7 linked regions of the Callithrix jacchus genome follow. The protein of the gene in region 4 purifies or fractionates together with the protein of the main gene of each other region. This does not show direct contact. Links are inferred from orthologs where the notes say so. Each region holds a gene or a part of one and is shown on either strand. Other genes may lie near its edges.

Region 1 (3,500 bases), on a different chromosome or scaffold from region 4:
GGGAGGCCAAGGCGGGTGGATTACTTGAGGTCAGGAGTTCAAGACCAGCCTGACCAACATGGTGAAACCCCATCCCTACTAAAAATACAAAATTAGCCAGGTGTAGTGGCACACACCTGTAATCCCAGCTACTGGGGAGGCTGAGGCAAGAGAATCACTTGAACCCCGGAAGTGGAGGCTGCAATGAGCTGAGATCGCGCCACTGCCCTCCAGCCTGGGCAACAAGAGTGAAACTCCATCTCAGGGGCAGGAAAAAAAAACAGAATAAAGCAACTCAATCTTCCAAATAATTTTACTCCAAATATATAAAATGATGTGTTGCTAGTAGCATGGTTTTAGCAACCCGTTCCAAGAACTCTATATTATATTCTGATATAAAGTGTGTGGATATCTACTAGTCACAACATTATCCATGCTCATAATGGCAGCAAAACTCCCATCCATACACATGGATATCTAAAAAATAATAGCAGGTACAGTTTGAAAGGGATCAAGTATTTTCCCCCTCTGTACAGTATCTACATAGTAGACAAAACACTTTTCAACCTGGAAAGATCTTGGCAAACAGCTAAAGAACACTTACCTCTGTTCCAATTCCCGGTTGCATGCCAGAGTACACACTGTCTGGTGGAGGACCACCATACTTCCTCTGTCCCGTGGTTACATCCAGAGTATAACCAGTTCTCTCAAGCAAGGCCTAGAGATAATTATACATCTCTTTATACTTGAATACTAAATTTCAAACACAAGCATCAATGTATTAATCTTTTCCAAAGTACTCCAACTTCCTAGGAAATATATTTTTATGATTAGGTTAAAAAAAAAAAAAGTCAAAATTCACACTAGTTCCCCATACATGTTTCTACCAGCGAGTCTTTTCAAATAAAATGTTCTCTATCCTCAAAAAATTAGCATAAGTCTTACCTCCTTCATGCAGCTTCTCTTGTTTACTATTACTCACATCCCTCTCTTCCTAATTTCTTTTTTTTTTTTTTCCCTAAGATGGAATCCTGCTCTGTTACCCAGGCTAGAGTATGCAATGGCATCATTTCAGCTCACTGCAGCCTATGCCTCCCGGTTCAAGCGATTCTCCTGCCTCAGCCTCCCAAGTAGCTGGGATTATAGGCATGTCCACCACGCCCGGCTAATTTTTCTTCTTTTTAGTAGAGACAGGGTTTCACCATGTTGGCTAGGCTGGTCAGGAATTCCTGGCCTCAAGTAATCTGCCTGTCTTGGCCTCCGAAAGTGCTGGGATTACAGGTGTGAGCCACCGCGACCAGCCCCCACTGTCTTTCTAGTGTACTCAAGGTCCCATAATTGAAGCTTTGTTTGATCCTTTTGTTTTATACTCCTGCCATATCATAAGCACCACAAGAATCAGACAATCAGACAAGAATCACACAGTACAGACTAAAAACATTTGGCAATTACCAAATTAGTCAAGTTTCAAAAAATATGTAAAATCTTGTGTTTCCTGATTACCAACCTTCCTTACATTCTATTAGGCATTAAGAGGAATCAAAGAAAAGAAGATAAAGTCTTTGCTCTCAAGGAGCTTATGTTATAATTGAGGCAACATTTACATAAAGAGCCTACAGAACAAAACACACAATGGCAAACAAAGAAATGCAATCTATGTAGAAAAGAGAGAATTTTACAATTCAGGTTTTTTAAATTAGACAATGTCAGAACTACAAGAGACTTTAGATATCATCAAGTTCAATGAACTAGGGTTCCACAGGGATGCATGTCTTCGGCCTTCCATTCCTCCACTTTCAACTGAAACAGAGCTCTCTACTTTTAAACATAGAAATAAATGCAATAGAAAACAGGGCTCCCCCAACCCCTAGGCCATGGATAAGTAGTGGCCTGGGCTGCATAGCAGCTGTATCTATATTTACAGCTGCTCCTCCTCCTCTCTATTTTTGGCATTACTGCCTGAGCTGTGAGCTCCACCTCCTGTCAGATCAGCGGCCGAATTAGATTCTCATAGGAGCGTGAACCCTATCGTGAACTGCACATACGAAGGATCTAGGTTGCAGGCTCCTTATGAGAATATAATGCCTTAAGATCTGTCACTATTTCCCAGTACACCCAGATGGGACAATTTAGTTGCTGGAAAACAAGCTCAGGGCTCCCACTGATTCTACATTATGGTGAGTTGTATAATTATTTCATTACATATTACAATGTAATAATAATAGAAATAACTTCAACATAAAATATCTATTTCAAATTAAAAAGTCTATCACAGACCAGGCATAGTGGCTCACACCTGTAATCCCAGCACTTTGGGAGACTGAGGTCGGCAGATTCCCTGAGGTCAAAAGATCGAGACCAGCCTGGCCAACACGGTGAAACCCCGTCTCTACCAAAAGATAAAAAGAAAATTAGCTGGGTATGGTGGTGCATGCCTGTAGTCCCAGCTATTCAGGAGAGGGAGACAGAAGAATCGCTTGAACCCAGGAGACAGAGGTTACAGTGAGCTGAGATCGCACTACTGCACTCCAGCCTGGGCAACAGAGCAAGACTCTGTCTCAAAAACAAAACAAAACAAAAGTACATCACTACAGTAAGACAGAGTATCCATTATAAGGAATCAGGTTTACTGGTCTTTCACTAAAAGCGTATATTTACCTTTCAAAGCTGTTTATCTAAGTAACAAAATGGTAATAATAATGGCTCATGGTTAAATAGTTCTTACTATATTCCAGGCATTATTCTAAGTGCTTTATATATGTTAAGTCATTTAATCCTTAAATAACTCTGTGAGGTAGTTACTATTACTCTTCCCATTTTACAAATAAACTGAAGTAACTGAAAATTCAAAAGGAGGAAAGCAGTTATAACAACATCTTTTTATCAAGAGAAAAGAAACAAAGTGCCTGGAAAATAACTGAACCAAGAGACATTATTGGATCAATCCAAGAAACTACCAGCAGAATCATCAATAAACGTACGTTGTTCAGGCCAGGCATGGTGGCTCATGCCTGTAATCCCAGCACTTTGGGAGGCTTAGGCAGATGGATCCCCTGAGGTCAGGAGTTCAAGACCAGCCTGGTCAACATGGTGAAACCCCATCTCTACTAAAAATACAAACATCAGCCAAGCACACTCACATGCACCTGTAATCCCAGCTACTTAGGAGGCTGAGGCAAGAGAATTGCTTGAACCCGGGAGGCAGAGGTTGCAGTGAGCTGAAATCACGTCACTGTACTCCAGCCTGGACAACAGAGCAAGAGTCTGTCTCTACATCATTCATGGCCATGAATGAGGGAGAATATGAATTAGGGCTTTTCGTTAAACATACAATTGAGTGTTGACCCCCAAAATTATCCTTCTTATGTAATTTCTCTAAATTATTTCATTTCTAAACACTAATTTTTAAAAGTGAAACTCTCTGGGAAACATGAAAAGAAGCATTTGACCTCATCATTAAATGTAATTTCATTGCAACTACCCAAGTCAAGTTTTACCTTGATCTTCGCTTCATCAGGTCC
Region 2 (3,046 bases), on a different chromosome or scaffold from region 4:
CAAAAATAAAAAGTTAGACAATTGTATTCCCAAGAAGGTACGGGCTGCAAAAAATACAGTTAAAATGGTTATCCATTCCCTGTAGGAATACCATTTGAGATTGAAAAAAGAAAAAAAAAAAGCACATGTCATCTGTGTTAAGTCTTCACCCACCCAATGACAGACCCTGTCAAAAGGAATGTGTATCCCTAGCACATTCCCAAATCAGCAAGTTCCCTTACAGATCATCAAGTGACATCTGAATGCTTCTGCGCAGTAGGGCCACTTAAAGTTTCACAGCAACCTCTTCATGTGCTCATTTTGAGGACCTTGAAACAAAAAAATGTACAAGGTCCTTTGCATTACACATTTATCAGAAGTTCAAAATTCTCTGGCCACACTGCTTGTCTTGCCAAGACCTTACAACCGCAGCTGCAAGAAAACATACCTGTCCCCCAAAAGTTGTTTTTATGCACTGTGTCTCGTCTAGGCAAGCGCTTCCAAGAAGCCAGGATTCACTTGAGAATGTGTCTCTCTCTGGCAGGTCTCGACATGACGACTACTGTGTAGGTGAGGGAGGAACTTTCAAAGCACTTTCTTTTCCCACTGACTTAAGTGTGAGAAGTTGCTCCTGCTCTACATCTCATGTGCCAGTACTCACCAATTTGTAAAAGGCTTTAGTACCTTTTAAAGCTGCTCTCTCCATTTCAAACTTGAACAAAAATTTCATTGAACATTGAAGTTTGGAAATATTTCTTCGACATTTCAGCAAACTCACTGAAACTCAAAGACCCACAGATCACAGTGAACAGTTTGAAACAATGCTGTACCATGGCAGTCATGCAAAGCATGGGACAGAAGAAATACCACGGCAGTGAACTGTGAGGATAACTTCCTTATTTTCCCTCGGAGAGAACAGTTTACGGGGCAGAGGTGGTATGTTCTGCCTTTTGAAGATTACTGGCACACGTTCAGCTTTTCACCTCTCTAATCGACTGGAAGCAGCCAGCCGATCACTAGTCCTCCATCCCCCTCGAGTCCTCCGATTGTCATGCCTAGGCCTTGCCACAAAGACTGCACCTTTATGTGAAAAAAAACTTAAGAAAAAATGCAGAGGTTAAAGAAAGCAATAAACTTTCTTTAAAAAAGTTAAATGGAGATCTTCTGGGAAACCAAGCCATGAATGCGAGTTTGTACTAACCTAGCCCTCTGGAGGCCACATCTGTAGCAATCAGAATAGGAGCTTTTCCATGTTTGAATTCTACAAAAAGGAAGGCATACAAATGATCAATTATCTGAGCAGAATTCTAGCTAGATTAAGGAGGGGCAAAAGCTTCATTTGAAATATTTACCATTTAGAACCCAGTCACGCTCTTGTTGACTCTTGTCACCATGGATACCCATGGCAGGCCACCTAAGTTAAAAGACAAGTTGTATTATTAAACTCACATTGAAAAACCTCAAGACTCAACTGCTTAATCACTTTATTCACAGATCCCTTTAATTCCACAAGTAACACATACATCATTTTACCCATACTATCAGATAGGAAACTTAAATCAACTGTTCCTGATCCAAGTTCGCCCTTTCCTAAGCTCAGTTCTAATAAATCTGCTTCAATGCAGGAGCCCACACATACCCATCTCTCCTCATTTTTCTGGTAAGCTCATCACATCTTCTTTTGGTCTCAACAAAAACAATGGTTTTATTCTCCTTCTCACTCATGATCTCTTCCATTAGACGAATAAGTCTAGTAAGAGAGAAAAAGGAAAATCCTTTGTTTCTTTTTTTTTTTTTTAAACCGACCCACCGCCAGAAAACCCTGAGTTTTAAAAGACCATCACTATGGCCACACATTTACAGTCAGCAAAACATTAGGTTTAATTTTACATGGCTAGAAGTCAAAGAAACACTTGCTAAGCCACTCACTTATCAATCAGTTTGACCCTTGGTCCTTAAGTCAACCAGGGGACACACGAATTTCTTCCATAGGAATGCTATAAATGATTACAGCCAATTATTTGAAAGATTCAAGAGATTTTCAAAAGAATTAATATGCTAACACTAAATGAAGTAGAACACACCAACTGAAATAACCTAACTCAACATCAATGATCTCTCAATTTTACAGCAAACTTGTTAGCAAACATAGCAGAGTTAATTAAAACTTACTTTTCATCCTTTTCTACATCATGACACACATCCACAATCTGAAGAATGTTGTGGTTTGCACTCAGTTCCAGGGCACCAATGTTTATATGAATATAGTCTTTCAGAAAATCTTCAGCAAGCTGTCTTACTTCTTTTGGCCAAGTTGCACTCCACATTAGAGTTTGCCTATCAGGCTAATGGATTGGGGTGGGGGTGTGGGGGAGAATTAGCATTGGACTTAAAAGCCAAAACAGAATTGAATTTGATCACTTATTTAGATTGACACTTACTCTTATCTGATCCACAATCTTCCTTATTTGGGGTTCAAAGCCCATATCAAGCATTCTATCTGCTTCATCAAGGACAAGGTAGGTGGTTCTTCTCAGATTGGTTTTCCCACACTCTAAAAAGTCAATCAGTCTTCCAGGTGTTGCAATACAGATTTCCACACCTTTAATTATTAAACACATAACTGTAACTACAATACCTAGGATATTTAGCACCAATTAACAAAACCTTTTTCATTATCTACCTCTTTCCAAATCACGTATTTGTGGTCCCTTGGGAGCACCACCATAGATACAAGTAGACTTCAAGCGACACGCTCTACAATATTCAGCAGCTACTTGCTGCACCTGTTGGGCCAGTTCCCGAGTTGGTGCCAGCACCAAACACTAAGGAAAGAGAAACAACTTTCAGCACAACTTGGACACTAGTTTTAAACTACTAACTTATTAGTCATGCTCGCAGATCCTTTCTAAATACGTGCTGTCCAGTACCCAAAGCAGCTCCAACTAAATAAGGTGAGCTAACCTCTATATAAAACTACCACAAATGATTGTCTTTTGCTATGCAGTCTAAAAATCTATACATTATGCTTTAATCAAAAGATAAAAATATATACTTACAATAGGCC
Region 3 (4,126 bases), on a different chromosome or scaffold from region 4:
GGGAAAGGGAGAGCTGGGGCAGATCTTGAAAGGCCAGTTCATTTGAAATTTTTTAAAAATGCCATCTGATAGTCAAGTATGGATCAGTAATTCACCTTTTGCCTCCTTTCAAATAACTTATTAAAGCATATATATGGGGAAAGGAAGTATTAACCCAAACACCCATTGTAAAGAAATACAACATTATTAATACCTTGTAGCCCCTCTATGTGCCTGTTTCACATTTACAACTTTCACCCTAATAACCACTGCCTTCAATTTCGTTAACCATTCCTTTCCTGCCATTTTTGCACATAGCCTTTAATGTGTCACCCTACCACAATCTTTTTAACTCAACAAGTCTGTGACTTATTCACATTAATCCAAGTCCGTGCCCCTCCCCCCACTGATTCAATTGTATTCAATGGCACAAATACCCACAACTTATTGAGACATTTGTTTCCAATATCCTGTTGTCATGAATGCTGGTATGCAAATTTTTCTGGTAAGGATACTGGGCCACGTGTGCAAGGATTGTTCTAGGCATTACAGTGTAGGGTATAAAGCTTAGTGAGGAATTTCTGGGTTTTCAACTTTCCTAGATAATCTCCAATTATTTTTCTAACTGGTTGTACCGAAATTCACTTCTAAACTTAGCAATACAGTAAAACACTGAGCAAACATTCCACCTCTCAACTTAAAATGAGATCAATTATTTTCCTTCCTAATAAGATATAAATCAACATTTTCATCTTGTAAAAAGTGGCAACTGAAGTGGTTGTGACTAGTTAATGTGGTAGTTGTGTATCTAAACCACAAAAGACAAAAATGTTTGGAGAAAATATCATTAACAGAGCCCCGCTACAGACAGACAATGACATCCATTATCTTTTAATCCCTGACATCATCAAAGTAAAGGCTCGGAGAGGAAACAGGTTCACAACGGCTGCCGATCTTGACCAAGGCCGCGCACACACAAAGTGGCATCACTTTACTTTTTTGGGGGGCAGGGGGAGTTGGGGGAAGGCCGGAGTGCAGTGGCACGATCTCGGCTCACTGCAACCTCCAACTCCCAGGTTCAAGCGATTCTCCTGCCTCAGCCTCCCAAGTAGCTGGGATTACAAGTGTGCGCCACCAAGATCGGTTATTTGTATTTTTAGTAGAGACAGGGGTTTCACCATATTGGCCAGGCTGGTCTCAAACTTCTGACCTCATGATCTGCCTACCTCAGCCTCCCAAAGTGCTGGGACTACAGGCGTGAGCCACTGCACCCGGCCTGTACAGACACCGCTTTTCTAAGTGGTAACACAAATAAGAACATCTCTTAAGCGATATTTTCTTTTAACAGTAAAATTTAAATCTGGGAACTTTAGGTTTAAACTTAAAAGTTAACTTCCAACTCAGTAATTCTGGCATTATAATACCAATTACTTTTTTTTTTTTTTTTTGAGATGGAGTTTCCCTCTGTCGCCCAGGCTGGAGTGCAATGGTGCGATCTCTGCTCACTGCAACCTCCGTCTCCCGGGTTCAAGCGATTCTCCTACATCAGCCTCCCGAGTAGCTGGGATTACAGGCCATGTGCCCCCGCGCCCGGCTAATTTTGTATTTTTGGTAGAGACCGGGTTTCTCCACGGTGGTCAGGCTGGTCTCGAACTCCTAACCTCAGGAGATGCGCCCGCCTCGGCCTCCCAAAGTACTGGATTACTGGCGTGAAGCACCGCGCCCGGCCCATAACACTAAGAACTTTCTAGAAAGATAGAACAGTTGCTGCTGCTGTCCAATTACGGGGAGAAAAGGCTGAAATATTATAATTAAAACTAAACGACCCAAAAATCTCTCCTTCCCCTAAACACGATCATTCAGATGGGAACTCCATTGCTTTACACTCCAATGTATTTCTCCCACTTAAAATATGACTTTAAAGGTTTAAAACCTATTTTTAAAAATAAAAAGTCGGTGTTTTGGTCTCCAGTGCCATAAAGTGAACTCTGGGGACAGAATGTCAAGGCTGCCATTTCGTGAAAGGTTTTGCCGGGCTGAAGTCTCTTAGGAAGATCCGTGTTTTCCAGATGAAGGTCGAGGCCTGGAGACATCAAACGGCCCGCCCGAAGCGGCCAGACGGGAAGAGCCGGTAAATCAGGCGAGGCCCCGACAACCCGGGCCGGGGCTGCTGCGGCCAGGCCGCCCTCCCGATCCCCCCCGCGGCTGCGACGAGACCGGACCGCGCCACGACGGCCGTCCGCACGAAGAGGCCCAGCGTCGCCAAGCCGCCGCCCTTCCCGGGTCGGAGTGACCCCGGTCCGAGGCCCGCAAACGAAACCGCCGTCTCGCCTCGCCTCCCGGGGTCGAGAACAAGGCGCTCAGGCCCTCAGTCCGCTGGGCCTATCCAGGAAGCAACTTCCCCACCCCCACGCCAGGCCTCTCCTCTCCTCCCCCACCCTTACCCTCCACGGTCACGGTCCCGGTCCCGGTCCCCAAAGCCGCCTCCGCGCATGGTCCCAAACGGATAGAGATCTGGGAGCGGGGCACGGATGGCCGGGCTCGGGAGGGCCTGCGGCTCCGGTCTGGTGACGACCGATGGCGGCGGCGCCTCCGCTGTTGGGGCGGCGGCAGGCGCAGCGCTCTCTCGCTCCGACGCGCTGTCTCCCGTCGCAGACGCCACCGTCGCCGCCTCTCTCGTCGGAGACGGGAGCAAAACACAGAGAATCGGGGCTATATAGCCGGTGGGCAGGTTTGGCTACGCTCAAACCCGGCAGTGCCGCGGTTTAGGCGTCTCCTTCTTTCCCAGCGACTGCACAAAATGGCGGCCGCTGCTGAGTCTGCTCCAACTTAACGCTACGTACGGCGGAGAGGATACGTAAACAGCGTCTCGGAATAGCCCGAGGGCTCCGCGGGGTACTACGGGTATTCTTGGAAGCACTTTACGTCAGTTGCGACGATGGGGGTATTTTGCGGTGTGTACAAGAAAAACAAAGTACGGAGTGAGCGTAGAGTTTTCGCGCCACCTGAACTAGAACGTGGGGTGAGGTGGGTGGAAGAGCCTCCAGTGCGACGTAACATTCTTTGCGTCGTTTGCCGGCCCGCTGTTGCGAAGATGCGCAGTATGCGTAACGCATTCTGTTCAGAGAATAGAGGATTTTGCCGGATTGTGATCTCGGGTCAGACACCGCGGAGGGCTTGTGGAAGTTCCTTTGCAGAGACAATAACAGTCCTCTATATTGTTATCAAGTTTCGGGGTCTCCTGGTGCCGGAGGCTGGAAGGGTCTTAAGTTCCCTGACTGGCCTTCCCATATGGTGCTGGCAGCCCTCTCGCCCCGCCGCCCGGGGCTGGCTGAGAATGGCGGCGGGCCCCGGCGCCATTTTCTTTTGGTTGCCTCTCGCTGCTCTGTCTCCGGCAGCCATGATGGATGCACCGTGTCCCTTTCTTTCAGGAGTTGGTGAGGTGTCGACGTCCCCATTAGGTTAAAGCGCCCCCAGCTACGCTTGGATCACACTGAGGTGCATTTTCTGACCCGTATGTTTTCACCCTCCCTGGCCAAGCACAGCCGTTGCTAATGTGCTCGGAGGCTGGGCGTGGTGCCTCACTCCCGTAATCCCAGCACTTTGCGATGCCGAGGTCTCCTGATCACCTGAACTCAGGAGTTCCAGACCAGCCCGGCCAACATGGTGAAACCCCGTCTTTACGAAAAATACAAAAATTAGCTGGGTGTGGTGGTGCGCGCTTGTAATCCCAGCTATTCGGGAGGCTGGGGCAGTATAATCTTTTGAACCCGGGAGGGGAGGGTGCCATCAGCTAAGATTGCGCCATTGCACTCCCGCCTGGGCGGCAGAGTGAGACTCCGTCTCAAAAAAAATGCTTGGAGCCCCAGTGGACCCCGTGGGTTCTTGGCTGCCTTTAAACGGCGCGCTTCAGAAAGCCCCGAGAAGACCCCAGCACTCAGGAGAACAGCGGTGGTCAGACAGAAAGGGCGAGGCCATAAGGACAAGCGTTTAACCGGGCTAGCCCACCTTCTCCGCTCAGTTCCTGCTGTACTGGCTTCCCTCTGCTTACCTGCTCCCTGTCCTCTCAGGCTGCATTTTAACGCCCCTCAAACTTGGCCAGATGACGTCCCACGACCGTTGAGCTGTTAGGGCCCTCGAGACAGGC
Region 4 (3,500 bases):
TGGCCCCAGCCCCACCTCTGCCAACCTTCTTATACATACCATCAAACCAGTCAATAGCTGCTTTAGCAGAAGGTGGGTCATCAAAAGAGACCGTTGCCTCTCCCTTCAGCTTGCCGGTTTCCCTGTCTGTGTACAAATTAATCATGGGCTGTCCCGTTTTCTTGTTTGTCTGAAGGCAAAATGAGGTGACATCAATTTTAGAGGCTACAGTACTCCCATCTTCTTCCTCCAGAACATGAGGTTTATCATTCTCAAACTTCGGCTTCCCTCTTCCCAGTTCCCTCTTCCAACCTCACATGTAAATGTCCATTAAAGAAAAGTGTTTCTCACTCCAACATTGAGAAATAAACTAAATGTTATTATAGAGTACAAATCTCAGAATTTAGGGAACTCTTATCAGTTACACCTTTTGTGTTAAAGTAGAAATTCTTTTAGAAAACAGCAAGTGGCCAGACACGGCGGTTCACGCCTATAATTCCAGCACTATGGGAGGCAGGTGGGTCACCTGAGGTCAGGACTTCAAAGACTAGCCTGGCCAACATGGTGAAACCCCATCTCTACTAAAAATACAAAACTTAGCCAGGCATGGTGGTGGGTCCCTGTAATCCCAGCTACTCGGAGGCTGAGGCAGGACAATCACTTGGAACTGGGAGGCAGAGGTTGCAGTGAGCTGAGATCATGCCATTGCACTCCAGCTGGGGTGACAGAGCAAGACTCCATCTCAAAAAAAAACAGGAACTAAGGATCCTTCCTCAACAATTTAAGCTAGCAATAACCATTAAGACTTTTGTTTTTACTGCTAGCAACCATTAAGACTTGCTTTTACACTAATGTGTGAAATCCAAAAGCCTGCAACACTGACAGAAAGCACCCACTCCACAAGTACCTTAATAATACCAATCTGCTTGAAGTAATCAGCCACAGACTCAATTGTAACATTCTCGCCCAGGCCTTGCACGAAGATGGTGTTGTTGTCTGAATTATCCTGTTCTGCTTGTTGAACAGAGGAGAAAACGCAAATGTGAAAAAGTAAAACAAATAAAAATAAACACATAAGGAAAACCAAAAGCAGTACACCTAGTATCCATCAAGCAACTTGTATGATTTGGTCTATGGAAGACAAATGAAAAGAAATCCACATTCCCTTTTATTTTGAGTGCCTATATGCCAGCCATGCTGATAAATTTCAGGTTTGGTTTGACAATTATCCTTTGAAACACGTCAATACACAGTACAGAAACAAGAGCTCAGGAGTGAAATACCCAAGACCATGCAGGCAAAGTACATCAGTATTTATCAACTTTCAGTTAAGATCCCCAAATTAAGAAAGAAACCCATTTTACATTAAAATCTAGTACACAAACATCAACACAATCTAAACAAGTGAAATGCTTTCCTTCGTGTGGTCAGGTCTTTGTGTTCACTAGTTTTTGTTCACCAACTTAGACGTGATCCACATTTTTAAATAAACACTGCAGAAAACCAAAAGTTCTGAGTAGGGTCCAGATGCATCAGCATCACTGGGGACTTGTTGAGCAGATTTTCTGGGTCATCTCAGACCTCCTAAATCGTGGGGGGTGGAACCCACAAAGCCAGGTATTTCTGAGAAATACTTCATGATTACTTCTTACTGCTAAGGATACACGTAACTCCCTTTCTACCCTCATTTTTTCAGTTTCCTTTTAATAACATTTCAAAGAATATCCAGCCTTGATCCACTTTAGCTACTCTATTCATGCCACCTGTGAACTCACCGGAGTCATGACGTGATCCTTGGTCCCGAGGGCCTTAAGTGACATGGAAAAAAAGAACAAAACAAAAACAAAAACAAGGAAAGGGGAGCCGTTAGTCAACAGGAAAAAACGAACAAGGAAAAAAATTAACACCAAATCCAAATTAGCAAAATATCATGTAAGTGCTCACAGCCTCACTCCAAACCCCTTTCCTGGGTCACCTGCCCAGAGGAGAAAATTCTAGGTAGGCCCCTTAAGATCTGTAACTTGAGTCTCCACAGAGACAACTCCACACTTCAGAAAATGCTGCCTCCCCCAGCTCAGGCTGGGAAATGTCCTCAGCACAGACAGCAGGGGAAAGGAGACCCATTAAAGTGAACAAACCAACTCAGCTTGGCCCGGTTCTCTCACCCAAGAGAGATGGGCTCACCACGAGCCATGCGATCCAGTTTCTCCCAACTTTACCACCAAAGACACTTATCCCTTGTGGAACAATTTTTAATTTCATCTTTAGAAACCATTCTTAAAACCATGTTGTTTCCCCAAAACCACATGAAAATAAAAACCACACATAATAGCTATTGTATTTTTTAAGCATGTCCCAGGGAACAGACCAGAAATCTTATTTCCGTAATGCAGCCTCTATTTTGTTTTTCCAGAGACCATCTTTGACCAATGTTTATCTGAATTCGCCATATATAAATATTGTACCCACACGCAATGACATAAGTGTCATGAACCCAAGCCTTTGGCTTTAAATGTTGAGACAAATCAAGAAACCTTTTGTTAGTTAACCAAACCAGAAAAGTTCCAGCTTACTGGGAGACTTCTCAAATTTGTCATTTTTCCATGAATTCAGTGTGTGCTGTTTTAAGACCTTCCTGGTCCATGAATTCAGTTTGTGCTGTTTAAGACCTGGTTATTTCCCATGAGCCACACATGCTTCCAAACTTTCTTGAAGTAGTGCACATGTTCCTTCCCAGAGCTAGTTTCTATTTGCCCATCTGAGTTAAATCCACATACAGAGAATTGCAATCATTGACACCATTTCGTACTTTATACATGTATACCAACTTCACCATCCTCAGGGCAGGGCAATGTCACATCCCTCTTCCAGAATTAAAACATTTGGAGGTTGTCTCCCACACACACTCCCACACACGCAAGCCTTGGACACAATGATCAAAAGGGTCCTAAAGCCAAGTTGGCACCACGTGTTCCAGCACACTCTCTCCAGTTTCTCATGATGGTGGTCACTAAGTGCCAGGTGTGACAACACCCGTCCCAGGCCTAACTAGACCCCTCTTATTAACCGGGGGGCAAACCCATTTGGTAAAAGATGACTAATGAGTCTTACCCCTGCCTGCTCCAGGTTAGCACACACCAGGCAACAGGTGGCATTCTACCCTACCCCTTTTTGGAGGTGGTTCTGGACACCTCAATACCTTTGCACTTAAATTAACACGCTAAGACATCTGCAAATGAACAATCAGACAAAGCATTGCTGGGAGTTGGGAATTTTGGAAACTCTGTTCACTTACCACCAAATTTATTGAAGCCACCACGGTCACTTCCGCTGGAGAAGACAAGTTAGAAGAAAGGACATGAAGCTTCCAACGGCTACAAAAGGGTGTTTTTTTGATTTTGTTTAACATTCCCCAAACATGGGTAGGTGTTTTTGGAAAAAGATACAAGTGACTACTAAAATACATCCCTTCCTGACCACCCCTTGTCTGACCTTTGAGCGTGTCACACACACGTGTGCAA
Region 5 (4,212 bases), on a different chromosome or scaffold from region 4:
GAAAAGACAGTATTTATTAACTCCATTTTACCCACAAGGAAACCAGGCTCACAGAGATGAAGTGACTTGACAATATTGTTAAGCCAGATTTGAAACAAAGTCTGTTTGAGTCTAGGGACTACACTCCAAAGCACCTAATTCACTCTCCTCTCAGACAGGACTCTCTGGCCAGACCTCCAGGTCACTACTACTGCACTACCCTTTCTTGCTAGGCATTCCTGCCAGTCCCTCCTGCTTTAGACATGCACACAGGGCCACTCCTTTCTTCACAAGTCTCTGCAATGGGAAGTCCCCTTTCCAGCACCTGGATTCTGAATAATTCCTAAGCCACTGTCTATCCCAAATCCACACTTGGGTTATCTCCCTCCAGGAAACCTTACCTCTTATGAACAAGTATCCAATGCCAATCCCAACTCCTGTCTCTTCTGTTATCTCATTTTTCTTCTCATTCCCTTAGCCCCAAGTCCCAGGATGCCCTCTTTTCAGAAAAACTCTACAAACTCTATGCCAGAATCCCTTCTACTTACTGCTTAACCTCTCCAGTAGGCACATTTCCCAGTCCTACTAGAAAGCTGCCCGGAGGCCTGGCACAGTGGTTCACACCTGTAATCCCAGCACCTCAGGAGGCCGAGGCGGCCAGATCACTTGAACCCAGGAGTTCATGACCAGCCTGGGTGTTTGGCGAACCCCCAACTCGAAAAAGGAAGGAAGGAAGGAAGGAAGGAAGGGAGGGAGGGAGGGAGGGAGGGAGAAAAACGGGAAGGGGAAGGGGAAAAGAAAGAAAGCTGCTTTTTTCTTTTTTTGGGGGGACAGAGCCTTGCTCTGTCACCAGGCTGGAGGGTAGTGGCGCGATGTCGGCTCACTGCAACCTTCACCTTCTGGGTTCAAGCGATTCTCCTGCCTCAGCCTTCCAAACAGCTGAGATGAGAGGCTGGCGCTACCACGCCCAGCTAATTTTTGCATTTTTAGTAGAGATGGGGTTTCACCATGTTGACCAGGATGGTCTGGATCTCTTGACTTCGTGATCTGCCTGCCTCGGCCTCCCAAAGTGCTGGGATTACAGGCGTGAGCCACTGCGCTCAACCAAGCTGCTTTTCTCTAACTGAAGATTCACTCCGTCCCATACCAGGGTTTCCTCTCCTCAGACAACCACAGATCTACCTGAACTCATTCCCAGAGTCCCACTTCCTGGCTGATGCAGAGGTTCCCTGCTGCTCCCTGAGGGTCCCCACTCCCTGGGTACATAAAAAACTGCTTCTGGCAACCAACGAGATTTCTCTTGGAGATGCTCGGGTCCAGAAACACTCTGCGCACTCCACTCTGGGGCCTCCAGTGAAGTCAACAGGTCTCCTTTCTCTTTGCTCCCTACAGCCTGCCCCTCCTCATACGCCCAACCAGCTCCATACTCCTTCAGTGCTGGATACAGGATCCTGTCTCCCGCCACATACTTCATCCACTTCGAATGTTACCAACTCATCTGCCCCCACCCCTCCCACCCCCAGCTACCCCCTGTTCGCGGAAAGCCCACAGTCAGCCCCAGGCCATTCAGCAGCAGCCTCGGAGTTATCTGTCCTCAGTCTTCCTAGCTCTAGACCCCCGGATCTTTTGTCCAGGGAAGCATCCTCTCCCCCGCCAGCCTCTGGACCTCTTCTAGCGGCCAACCAGAAAGTCCCCAGATCTCAAAGCACCACATGTCCAAGCTGTGCCTGCCTCAAGGGTGGCCTTCCAACCGCGGAAGAGAGATGCGGTGCCCTCTGGTTCAAGCTCCCGCATCCCCCTAAATGCTCACCAGCCAACCTCCAGAGCACTGAGTTCCTTCGATCCTCCCCAGCCACAGACACCAGCGCCTCCACCTCACCCACCCACCCCCGTAGCAAACGGGAGAACTCCCAGGATCGCATCCAGCGGCATACTCCAGGATCCTCCTTCTTCAAAACTCTCCCAGCCCCGCACACCTGGACATTCTCTCCCCACCCTGGAAACACGGCTCCCCGCCCCCCAGCCCACACGCTGGGCGAGCACGGCCGCCGAGCCCTCCGAGCTCCGAACCCCAGGATCCCCATTTTCGAGACCCTCACTAGCCCAAATGGAAAACGTCTTGTTCTTCCGAGTCTCTCCGGCCCCAGAAACCAAGTTTCCGGTCTCCGATCCGAGCCCCACGGTACGGAATCCTCCCCGCCACCCCGGCCTCTAATCTCCGAAACCCAGAGCCCCTCCCCCAGTGTCCCCCCTGCACCGAGTGTCAGGATCCACCCTCCGGTCGCGCCGGGGCCCTTGTCCCCAGATCCTTTTCAGCGGCGGGTGGCGGGATCCCCCGATCCTCTAGTCTTCTCCCCGACCTCAGGCGCTGGACTCCCGCGTCCCACAGCCCTTTCCTCGGCCCAGGCTCCGGGCTCCCCGGCCCCCGCCCCGCGCACTCTCACAATGTCCGTCCGGCCCCGAGTAGCCGCCGGGCTCCGCGTGCGGCTGCAGCCCGGGCGGCGGTGGCTGCGCGGTCCCCTCCAGCTCGGAGCCCCCCTCGGTCTCGACCTCCTCGTTGATGTGCCCAGGTCGCCCCGGTTCGTCGTCGGCCTCGAGCTCCCGCTCGTCGTCAGGCTCCTCGGCCTCCAACGCCGCCTGCAGCCGCTCAGCAAGCTCGGCCTTGAGGCCTCGAGTGTCCAGGCCGCGGCGCTGCAGCTCCTCGCGAAGTTCGTTCACCTTCAGACGGCGCACATCCATGGCCCGGGCCCCCGGGGTGGCCCCCGAGCCCGGCCCGGCCCCCCAGGGCTATGTCCCCCTTAAACCTTTCCTGTCAGAAGGCGAAGGGGGAAGGGGGGGGCCCACTCCAATGGCGGCGGCGGCTCAAAATGGCCGCCGCCGCCCTCTCCCCCCTCACCCGTGCCTCGTCCGATGTAACACGAGTGCCAATTGGTCAGTGCTTGGGGCAACGGGCGCCGGCCATGAGACCCAGCCAATCAGAACGCGGTTTTCAAAAAACGGCAACGAGAAGGCCCAAGAGCTACCGGGAAGGAAGCGTTGGCCTACGTCGAGGCCGAGGCCGGAGCGGAGGGCGGGAAAAGGCAGGAGGCGGGGCGCGCGCTGATTGGATAGCTCTCCCGCGCCTCCTGCCGTAAGGCCCAATGAAAACAAGGGAGTAACAGTTTGGTCCAATCGGCGGTGAGATCTCAGAATGAGTGCCCCACGGCCTTTCTGCGTAGTCCTTTCATCAAACTAAGTGTCTCTGTAACACACATTCCGATTGGTCTACATCTCCCGCCCCTTGAGGAGTCCGAGCGGGTAAAACCACAAGAACCAATGAAACGGAGTGTCGGCAGAAACCCCTCCTTCCTGTTGCCTTTAAGAAACCGGAAACAGATGAATTCACCGAGGGCCTGCCCCTTGCCGTTAGGGCGGTTTCAAAACAATCTGCCCACCAATCGTAGTTATTGTCTTAGCTCCTAAAGCTGGCAGAGATGGCTCGTTTTAGGAAAAGTTCACCAGATTGGCCGTGCTTTAGAGGATTGTCTCACAAATTTCGCTGTAGTAGGAGGTATATGGAATAGAGATTAAGTGAATATACAGTTCGTAATCTGAAAGAAACCCAGTCGTTTTTAGAAAAAGCAAAATTTTGACTTCAGGAAATCCCGAAGGTTTGGGGGTAGAGGCCAGACTAACAACGGGAGGCAAGTTGCCCTTCCCTTGGGTAGTCCGCAGCTGCCTTCCTCTATGGTGGGTACCTGACGTGGAACGGGCGCTCTGCACGCTACCATAGAGCCTTCCCCTCCCGAAAGACCTCCAGAAGTTCACCGACCGCTCTCCCGAATCCTCTAATCGGCTGTTCTCGTAAATCGGGCTATCTGGCGTCTGTACCTACAAGCTCAAACCCGCGGATCAGTCATTAAGGCTCGCGCTCATGAATACAAACGCCAGAGAGCTTCCCAGTGCCTAACGCCGCACCACCTGTCGCCTCTAACTCAGAAAGCAAAACTCGAGTAAGACGCAATCGGGGTACACGATGCAGACTCCTACTCCCTCCCGAGCCACACGTTAAGCCCGCAGAAGCCACACACCATCTCTACTTAGACAAAGGCACACCCCGCAGAGATAAACAAACAGGCATGCGTCACATCAGACGCATCCAGTTCTTTTTTTCCTCTTTCTTTCTTTCTTTCTTTTTTTTGAGATGGAGTCTGGCTCTTGTTGCCCAGGCTGGAGTACAGGGGCGCGATCTCG
Region 6 (3,500 bases), on a different chromosome or scaffold from region 4:
TTATTCCCCCATTTACCAGTCGCACGTGCTAAATTGTGTCACAGAAAACTTACACTGTAGCAGAACAGTATTCTTTTGTAGTCCAGTATTTACTGTGGCTTGGTAGATTAATTAGTTGCCTTCCTTGTATCATACTAATAACTGCCCAATTCTTTTCCTCTTGAGGTGTGGATGTCAGCATGAATACACATCTTAAAGCTGTGAAAATGACCCTGAAGAACAGAGAACCTGTACAGCTGGAAACGCTGAGTATTCGAGGAAATAACATTCGATACTTTATTCTACCAGACAGTTTACCTCTGGATACACTACTTGTGGATGTTGAACCTAAGGTGAAATCTAAGAAAAGGGAAGCAGGTAAGTTTGAAGGAATATAAACATTTTTTTGAATGCCAATCCTAATCTACACTACTCATAATATAAATATTTGTAAACAACACAAGTGTCTTTGTTGCTTAATATTTCCTATAGTATGTATTATAACTCCTGGAGTTGCTGTTAAAAACATTGATGTATTTCCTGTTCAAAGGATTTATCATTTTCTGTCCCCTGCCCCCACTTTGGAAGATTTGGAGATGGACTCTTTATTCCTAGTATTCTGAAATTTCTTAATGTCTTGGTATAGGGGCTTCTCATGTCTGTAATTGCAGCTATTTGAGAGGGTGAGGTGGGAGAATTGCTTGAACCCAGGAGGTGGAGGTTGCAGTGAGCCAAGATGCCACCACTGCATTCCAGCCTGGGCAACACAGAGTGAGATCCTGTCTCAAAAATAAATAAATTAAATTAAATTTGTTTTTAGGCTGGATGCAGTGGCTCATACCTATAATCCCAGCACTTTGGGAGGCTGAGGTGGGCGGATCACCTGAGGGCAGGATGAACTCCCAGTCTGATCAGCATGGAGACTCTTTAACAGACCAGCCTGACCAATATGGAAAAACCCCATCTCTACTAAAAGAACTTTGTTTTCTTTTTTTGAGATGGAGTCTCGCTCTTGTCACCCAGGCTGGAGTGTAATGGTATGGTCTTGGCTCACTTCAACGTCCACCTCCCAGATCCAAGCTAATATTCTTCCTCAGCCTCCCAAGTAGTTGGGACTACAGGCTCTTGCCACCACACCCAGCTAATTTTTGTATTTTTAGTAGAGGCAGAGTTTCACCATGTTTGCCAGGATGGTCTTGATCTCTTGACCCCGTGATCTACCCACCTTGGCCTCCCAAAGTGCTAGGATTACAGGCGTGAACCACCAAGCCTTACCTATTTTCTTTCTTTAAAAAGAAAAAGAAGCCAGGCATGGTGGCTTCCAGTACTTTGGGAAGCCCAGATGGGTGGATCGCCTGAGGTCAGAGTTTGAGACCAGCCCGGCCAACATAGTGAAACTCCATCTCTACTAAAAACACACAAAAAAGAGCCGGGCATGGTGGTGGGTCTGTAAAGGCTGGACTGCAGAGTGAGACCCTATATCCAAAAGAAAATTTAGAATGTGACTGTATCAGGATTTTCTAATATTTATAGCTGTCTGAAGATGAAATGTTTATTTGGGTGATGAGTTCTCTGTCATCATGATACTCAACTTGAGTTAGGATGACCAAGTGACAGGGATATTGCTATATGGGTTAAAGCACTAGATTATGTTTGGGTCAAATGAATTTTAATTTTCTGAAGAGTTAATAAGATTGTGATTGATATCATAGTTATAAACTTTCCTGGATTTGAATTAACTTGCTTGGATTTTATTCAGTTACCAGACTCTGGCATCAGGTTATTCATGTTCTATTGATATATCTCTTCCATTTTTTGTGAGGTTCAAATCATTTTATGGTGAATTTGAGACATGATATAAAGAAAACATATTTAAAATTTGACAAATTTCTTAGTAAATAAATTGAAACAAATAATAATCTTCCTAGGCCTTTAGTTCTTGGTTCTGCATGATAATGTGTTGAGGGGGTGGCGGGAAATCTGAAGTCTTAACACATTTAAGAGAAGCTAGTTAAACTTAACTTTACTGTAACTGCTAATAAAGAGCTATAAACGGGGAAAGGTGTCTGTGTGTAAACGCTGTTTGTGGTGGCTAGGTAACATTCATGCAGAAGAGAATTGAATTTGCTTTGTTTTTCTTTTCCCTCAGTTGCAGGAAGAGGCCGAGGCCGAGGCAGAGGAAGAGGACGTGGCCGTGGCAGAGGAAGAGGGGGTCCTAGGCGATAATGTTTCTCATGATTACTGTTTCAAAGTCATATGGGATCTGGGATATTTTTTGTACAGGTTGTGTTTGTTTATGTCAGTTTTTAATAAACATAAATGTGGGACAGAGTGGTCTATTGAGTATATCAGAGTTTTAGTAGTTTCCTCCACATTCATAAGAATACCACAGTGAAAGCTAAGCATTTCTACTGGGCAGTTTCATTTTTAGATGATCAGGCTTTAAGTTTTGAACTAAAATTTTTATTTTTATGATAATAAAAATAAGGTTAAAAGAAAAGCCTCAGACAAATTAAATTTGACAGTTTAATTGAGCAAAGAACAATTCATAAATCAGCCCCTGAACCAGAATCGGTTCAGAGGCTTCAGCCCAGCTGCATAGTTGATGAGGATTTATGGACAGAAGAAGGAAAGAGATGTATGGAAAATGGAAGTGAGATACAGCAACAGCTGGATTAGTTACAGTTCAGCGTTTGCCTTATTTGAATATAGGTTGAACAGTTCGCAGCCTTTGATTGGCTGAAACTTAGTAATTGGCCCAAGAGTAGGGTACCATCTGTTTACATAACCAGTTAGGCTGCAGTTCACTTTGTACTGAGAAACCTTTAGGCTAAACTTAAGATATGTAAAGAGACAACTTTAGGCTAAACTTATATAGAATATATACCCTTTTACTTCACATGCACTGAATGTGCATTTTATTGCTTTACTCTGACATCATTCTGTGGCACCCACCTACAAGGGGAAGTAAGTTCTTTTTGGTATTTCAGAAACTAAAGTCCTTGTGGGATGGGGTCTAAAATTCTCAATTCCTGGGGGGCCGGGCGCGGTGGCTCAAGCCTGTAATCCCAGCACTTTGGGAGGCCGAGGTGGGTGGATCACGGGGTCAAGAGATCGAGACCATCCTGGTCAACATGGTGAAACCCCGTCTCTACTAAAAATAACAAAAAACTATCTGGGCATAGTGGCACGTGCCTGTAATCCCAGCTACTCAGGAGGCTGAGGCAGGAGAATTGCCTGAACCCAGGAGGTGGAGGTTGCAGTGAGCTGAGATCCTGCCATTGCACTCCAGACTGGGTAACGAGCGAAACTCTGTCTCAAAAAAAAAAAAAAAAAAAAAATTTCGCTGTTCCTGAGTTTTACTCCACAGAGTCTAAGGTACTTGGTAAAAAGTTGTCTTCTATATTAAGGGTCATTGCTTTTGTTTTCTAGCTGCTGATTTTTGTTTCTTTTGCTTTTTAATCAGTTCTCAATAGGGTATAGTTTTAATGTTCTCCAAGTTGAAACTTGGAGTTAAATGT
Region 7 (3,945 bases), on a different chromosome or scaffold from region 4:
CACATTTAACAAAAAGGAATTAGTGTGATATTAGCAATAATTCAAAATTATATAACCATCTAGTCCAAAATAAGCACAATTTTTTTAAATGACAGTAATTATTCCCATAAATAGCATCTTCTGCAAAACTGGGGTACAAATAATTACCAATACCCCATTTGGGAAAACCGATCTCTTTTTTTCTTCACTATCTCCCCAAATAGTAGATTTATTATCCAAATTATGGTAAACATTAGTTTACAACACCTGATATATAATAACAGCCAAAAGAGAGGATCCAGCACTGATTCGTACCAAGTAACAAAAAGGCAGATAGATTAAATTATGTATCAAATAATGCCAAAGCAAAGATATCTGAGAACTGATTTTAAGTAACATGAAATTTTTGCTAAGTTAATTTCTTTTACCATTTAATTTGCTCTTCAAAGATTTCAGGATTTTGGCTGGGTGCAGTGGCTCATGCCTGTATTCCCAGCACTTTGAAAGACCAAGGTGGGCAGATCACATGGTCAGGGGTTCGAGACCAGCCTGGCGAATATGGTGAAACCCCATCTCTACTAAAAATACAAAAATTGGCTGGGCCTGGTGGTGCACGCCTATTGTCCCAGCTACATGGGAGGCTGAGGCAGAATCAGGTGAACCCGGGAGGCAGAGGTTGCAGTCAGCCAAGATCACTGCAACCTCACTCCAGCCTGGGCACAGAGTGAGGCTCTGTTTCCAATTAAAAAAAAAAATTCAAGATCTTATCTGAGACACGCATATGCATATACATATATGATTTTATTCTATATTAATCCAGAATGTGTCATCACTGAAAACCATATTGCCAATTACCTCACCAAAACTAATTTAACAACTGTTAAATTCCTTAGTTAATTTTACAAATATATACTGAAAAAACAAAAGAATTTAATGTAGTGGTCAAATGAATACAACAGAATCCTGCTACAGTACACAGGATTAGATTCGGCTATGGTGTTAGTCAAATTCCTTCTTCCAAATACAACAGTGGTGTATCTGGGCAGTGAGAGAGGGAGTATTTTATCACTAATATTGTTTAGTATTTTATCACTGACACTGTTTAGAATTGTAGGCATATGGCAGTAATAGAAAGCAGACATAGTATGTTTTATTATTGTTTTTCATTGCTCTATAGAAAATGGATTCCCTTACTGCTTTAGGTGGGGAGGAGAAAGAACTGCTTCCACTGCCCTACCTCCACCTTGTTAGCCTCTGCTATACGTTGGGTGTTGGCATTACCATCAAACTTTATCATGAAAATACAATACTTTTTTTATTTTCACTCCCAACTCTGGACATTTCCAATATTTGTATTTTAAAGGTATCTACATCAAAATGAGTCAAAGTCCAACTAAAACAAACAAAACCACGAGAGTGTGCTAATCTGAAGAGCTCAACTTACTGTTTCAAAGTAGCTGAAAAGTATCCACAAGAGGGCTATTCCAGTCCTCTTTCACAAATCTGTACCTAGATTTGACAGCCTTAACTCTTTGTAGCATGAAATCTTACGAAAAATCAAAAGCTCATTGAGTAAGACATATACTGAGATCACATCTCATTTAAAGATCATTTTTTTGGTGGGGTGAAAGGTTTACAGCCTACTTGGCGAACTGGTTTTACTTCGGCATGCCTGGTTACTCAGGATTAAATCCAGCTTAATCATACAAGTCCTTTCTCCCTAATGTTGTCTCTACATACCACCGTATCTTGACAACAATTCCTAGTAAAATTTGAAGACAAAAGTGAAGACCAAATTAATTTTACTTTGTGACCCTGTAAAAGTGGTTTAAAGAACTGGTATCTGAGACAACTGAAAGGTATTGCTAAAATACAGTTTATTCAATCCGTAGGTCAAATACTTACAAGGCTATGTACAGGTGTTTAAATGTGAAGGACATTTGATGCGTGCTGTGCCAAAATTCTGATTAACTTAAACCCTATCTACATACGATCCAAAGAAAAGTGGTTTGGTTCACGTAAATATTTCAAATTAGAGATTAACAACGGGATAATTTTTGTTGATAAACACAACAGTTTGCTAACCAGGAAACACCTTGCTTTCCATTTCGCATAGATGGCTATTTATATATATATCACTTAAAGACACCGTTTCAACTCATCTTAAACCAGGACAACCAGAAACATCACTGTGAACAAGCCTCCGAAAATTATATCTGGCAAGAAGCAAACCGAGGCTGAGGATTAGCTAAACGGATGGTCTGGGGCGCTGCCCTGCGGGGCGAATGCGAGACTAGGTGGGTGAGGCCGCACTCGCCCGTTGGCTCGAGACCGGGAAGTTGGAGACGTCGGGGCAATTTCCACTACCAGGAGCCAAGGCGAGTCTGGGGCTCCAGCCGGGAGGCCCTCGCGCTCTGGGCGCGTCCTACCCAACACCGAGTTCTCAGGTCTCCGCCGGCAGCCGGCGCCGGGCGGGCCGAATCAGGGCGCGCGGGTCCCCAAAGAGGCAGACGCCGGGCGCTGGGCCCGCGTCGGGCCGGCGGCCTCAGGGCCCGCAGAACAAAGCCCACACGGCCATCTTGAGACCGTAAACAGATCCTCAACGCAGGCCACCCCGCCTCCCGCCAGCCGCGCCGACCAGCCAGAGGCAGCGCTTACCGTCCTCGAAGTCCATGGCGGAGGCTGGGGGCCTTCGGCCTTGGCGGCGCTGGGCTGAGCTATGGCCGGCTGCGAGCGCCCGCGATCAGCGATACCACACGCTCACTCGACGCGACTGAGAGCCGGCGCTACCCGCCCGGGAGCCGCAGGCCACAGAGAGGCTGGGGAGGCGGGGCCGACCGGCGCTGCCTGCCCCCTCGGCGCGGCCTGTTATTGGCTGGCGCGGGCTGGTGGGCGGGCCCTCGCATGGGGGCGGGAAGCAGGTCTGCTGTCAAGCTCCGAGGTGCTGACCCCCTGGAGCCGCCGAGGGGGAAGGAAGGTAAAAAAGGAGCGCCAAAGATTGGCTGGGGTTGTGGGAAAGCGAGCGGAGTGTACGGGAAGGGCCGGCTGCTGCCCGCCATGTTTGAACCTGGCAAGAGCGAAAGAAGCCGGTTGGAATGCCTCCCTGCTTCCCAAACTAATAAAACCCCATGCCTAGCTTTTGCTTTTCATTGGCTAAGAATGACTGATCAGAATATTTGTAAGTACTTACGGAGTTTCTTCCGTGGATACACACAAGTCTGGGACATTTTTTAGAAGGCTGTGGCAAATTTGAAAAGCAAGATACAAAATTGCATATGGAATCTGATCGTCGCTATGTCAATAAATTCCCTTAAAAGACAAAGCATTGAAATAAAATGGAAATCATAATTCTTTTTAAAAATTTTTAATTCTTTTTATAGAGATGGGGGTTTTGCCATGTTGCCCAAGCAGGTCACCAACTCCCGGGCTCAAGCGATATCCCCGCAGCCCAGTCTCGGCCTCCCAAAGTGTTAGAATTACAGGCGTGAGCCACCACGACTCTCATGGAAAGAATTCTAAAACATGAACAATGAATCTTTTGGTGATGACTTTTTATTTACACATGATTATGTATTATATATTCTCCAAATTATTGAGCACTTTGATAATGTAAAATATACGTTTGGCATAAAACAAATTTAATACTTATTAATGATTAGTGTTTGTTAAAAGTTCTCCTTAGTCAAATACTATGTTTCGTTCTCTTTGAAGATATACTTAGTGATGCGGGGGGCGGGGGGTGCACTCTTGGCCATTTAAGTCAGTGGTTCTTGATTGTTACTGTACTCTGGAATCATCCAGGGCACTTTTTAGTAAGTGCCAATACTCAGGTTTCACTTCAGGGATTCTGATTTGATGATGAACCTAAAGCTGTAACAAATGTTTATTTTCAAGACATTTAGAGATGTTATTGGACTAATTTCTCTTCTGATTCAGTAACCTGTACCCCTTGGGAAAATGTCAGGT

The links.
Region 1: the proteins of FUS (region 4) and HNRNPR purify together in Homo sapiens (affinity purification with mass spectrometry; 4 studies listed by BioGRID and IntAct, with this or other methods). This does not show direct contact. The link is inferred for Callithrix jacchus from reciprocal best matches to the Homo sapiens genes FUS and HNRNPR.
Region 2: the proteins of FUS (region 4) and DDX5 purify together in Homo sapiens (affinity purification with mass spectrometry; 5 studies listed by BioGRID and IntAct, with this or other methods). This does not show direct contact. The link is inferred for Callithrix jacchus from reciprocal best matches to the Homo sapiens genes FUS and DDX5.
Region 3: the proteins of FUS (region 4) and DDX17 purify together in Homo sapiens (affinity purification with mass spectrometry; 5 studies listed by BioGRID and IntAct, with this or other methods). This does not show direct contact. The link is inferred for Callithrix jacchus from reciprocal best matches to the Homo sapiens genes FUS and DDX17.
Region 5: the proteins of FUS (region 4) and HNRNPUL1 purify together in Homo sapiens (affinity purification with mass spectrometry; 3 studies listed by BioGRID and IntAct, with this or other methods). This does not show direct contact. The link is inferred for Callithrix jacchus from reciprocal best matches to the Homo sapiens genes FUS and HNRNPUL1.
Region 6: the proteins of FUS (region 4) and SNRPD1 purify together in Homo sapiens (affinity purification with mass spectrometry; 3 studies listed by BioGRID and IntAct, with this or other methods). This does not show direct contact. The link is inferred for Callithrix jacchus from reciprocal best matches to the Homo sapiens genes FUS and SNRPD1.
Region 7: the proteins of FUS (region 4) and ZNF326 purify together in Homo sapiens (affinity purification with mass spectrometry; 3 studies listed by BioGRID and IntAct, with this or other methods). This does not show direct contact. The link is inferred for Callithrix jacchus from reciprocal best matches to the Homo sapiens genes FUS and ZNF326.

Annotation. Positions count from the first base shown.
Region 1 is NC_133508.1:60,089,410-60,092,909, forward strand, and holds part of HNRNPR (heterogeneous nuclear ribonucleoprotein R), read right to left. Parts: coding exon 3,477-3,500; intron 698-3,476; coding exon 584-697; intron 1-583. UniProt on the Homo sapiens protein: Component of ribonucleosomes, which are complexes of at least 20 other different heterogeneous nuclear ribonucleoproteins (hnRNP). hnRNP play an important role in processing of precursor mRNA in the nucleus.
Region 2 is NC_133506.1:89,763,383-89,766,428, forward strand, and holds part of DDX5 (putative ATP-dependent RNA helicase DDX5), read right to left. Parts: coding exon 3,039-3,046; intron 2,805-3,038; coding exon 2,663-2,804; intron 2,582-2,662; coding exon 2,421-2,581; intron 2,325-2,420; coding exon 2,152-2,324; intron 1,730-2,151; coding exon 1,619-1,729; intron 1,394-1,618; coding exon 1,332-1,393; intron 1,241-1,331; coding exon 1,181-1,240; intron 1-1,180. UniProt on the Homo sapiens protein: Involved in the alternative regulation of pre-mRNA splicing; its RNA helicase activity is necessary for increasing tau exon 10 inclusion and occurs in a RBM4-dependent manner. Binds to the tau pre-mRNA in the stem-loop region downstream of exon 10.
Region 3 is NC_133502.1:209,419,500-209,423,625, forward strand, and holds the start of DDX17 (putative ATP-dependent RNA helicase DDX17), read right to left. Parts: upstream 2,801-4,126; 5' UTR 2,474-2,800; coding exon 2,424-2,473; intron 1-2,423. UniProt on the Homo sapiens protein: As an RNA helicase, unwinds RNA and alters RNA structures through ATP binding and hydrolysis.
Region 4 is NC_133513.1:30,701,585-30,705,084, reverse strand, and holds part of FUS (RNA-binding protein FUS), read right to left. Parts: intron 3,310-3,500; coding exon 3,275-3,309; intron 1,788-3,274; coding exon 1,755-1,787; intron 991-1,754; coding exon 887-990; intron 170-886; coding exon 40-169; intron 1-39. UniProt on the Homo sapiens protein: DNA/RNA-binding protein that plays a role in various cellular processes such as transcription regulation, RNA splicing, RNA transport, DNA repair and damage response. Binds to ssRNA containing the consensus sequence 5'-AGGUAA-3'.
Region 5 is NC_133523.1:36,547,240-36,551,451, reverse strand, and holds the start of HNRNPUL1 (heterogeneous nuclear ribonucleoprotein U-like protein 1), read right to left. Parts: upstream 2,801-4,212; 5' UTR 2,719-2,800; coding exon 2,424-2,718; intron 1-2,423.
Region 6 is NC_133514.1:64,593,271-64,596,770, forward strand, and holds part of SNRPD1 (small nuclear ribonucleoprotein Sm D1), read left to right. Parts: intron 1-165; coding exon 166-357; intron 358-2,128; coding exon 2,129-2,205; 3' UTR 2,206-3,500. UniProt on the Homo sapiens protein: Plays a role in pre-mRNA splicing as a core component of the spliceosomal U1, U2, U4 and U5 small nuclear ribonucleoproteins (snRNPs), the building blocks of the spliceosome.
Region 7 is NC_133508.1:127,429,386-127,433,330, reverse strand, and holds the start of ZNF326 (DBIRD complex subunit ZNF326), read right to left. Parts: upstream 2,801-3,945; 5' UTR 2,654-2,800; coding exon 2,638-2,653; intron 1-2,637. UniProt on the Homo sapiens protein: Core component of the DBIRD complex, a multiprotein complex that acts at the interface between core mRNP particles and RNA polymerase II (RNAPII) and integrates transcript elongation with the regulation of alternative splicing: the DBIRD complex affects local transcript elongation rates and alternative splicing of a large set of exons embedded in (A + T)-rich DNA regions.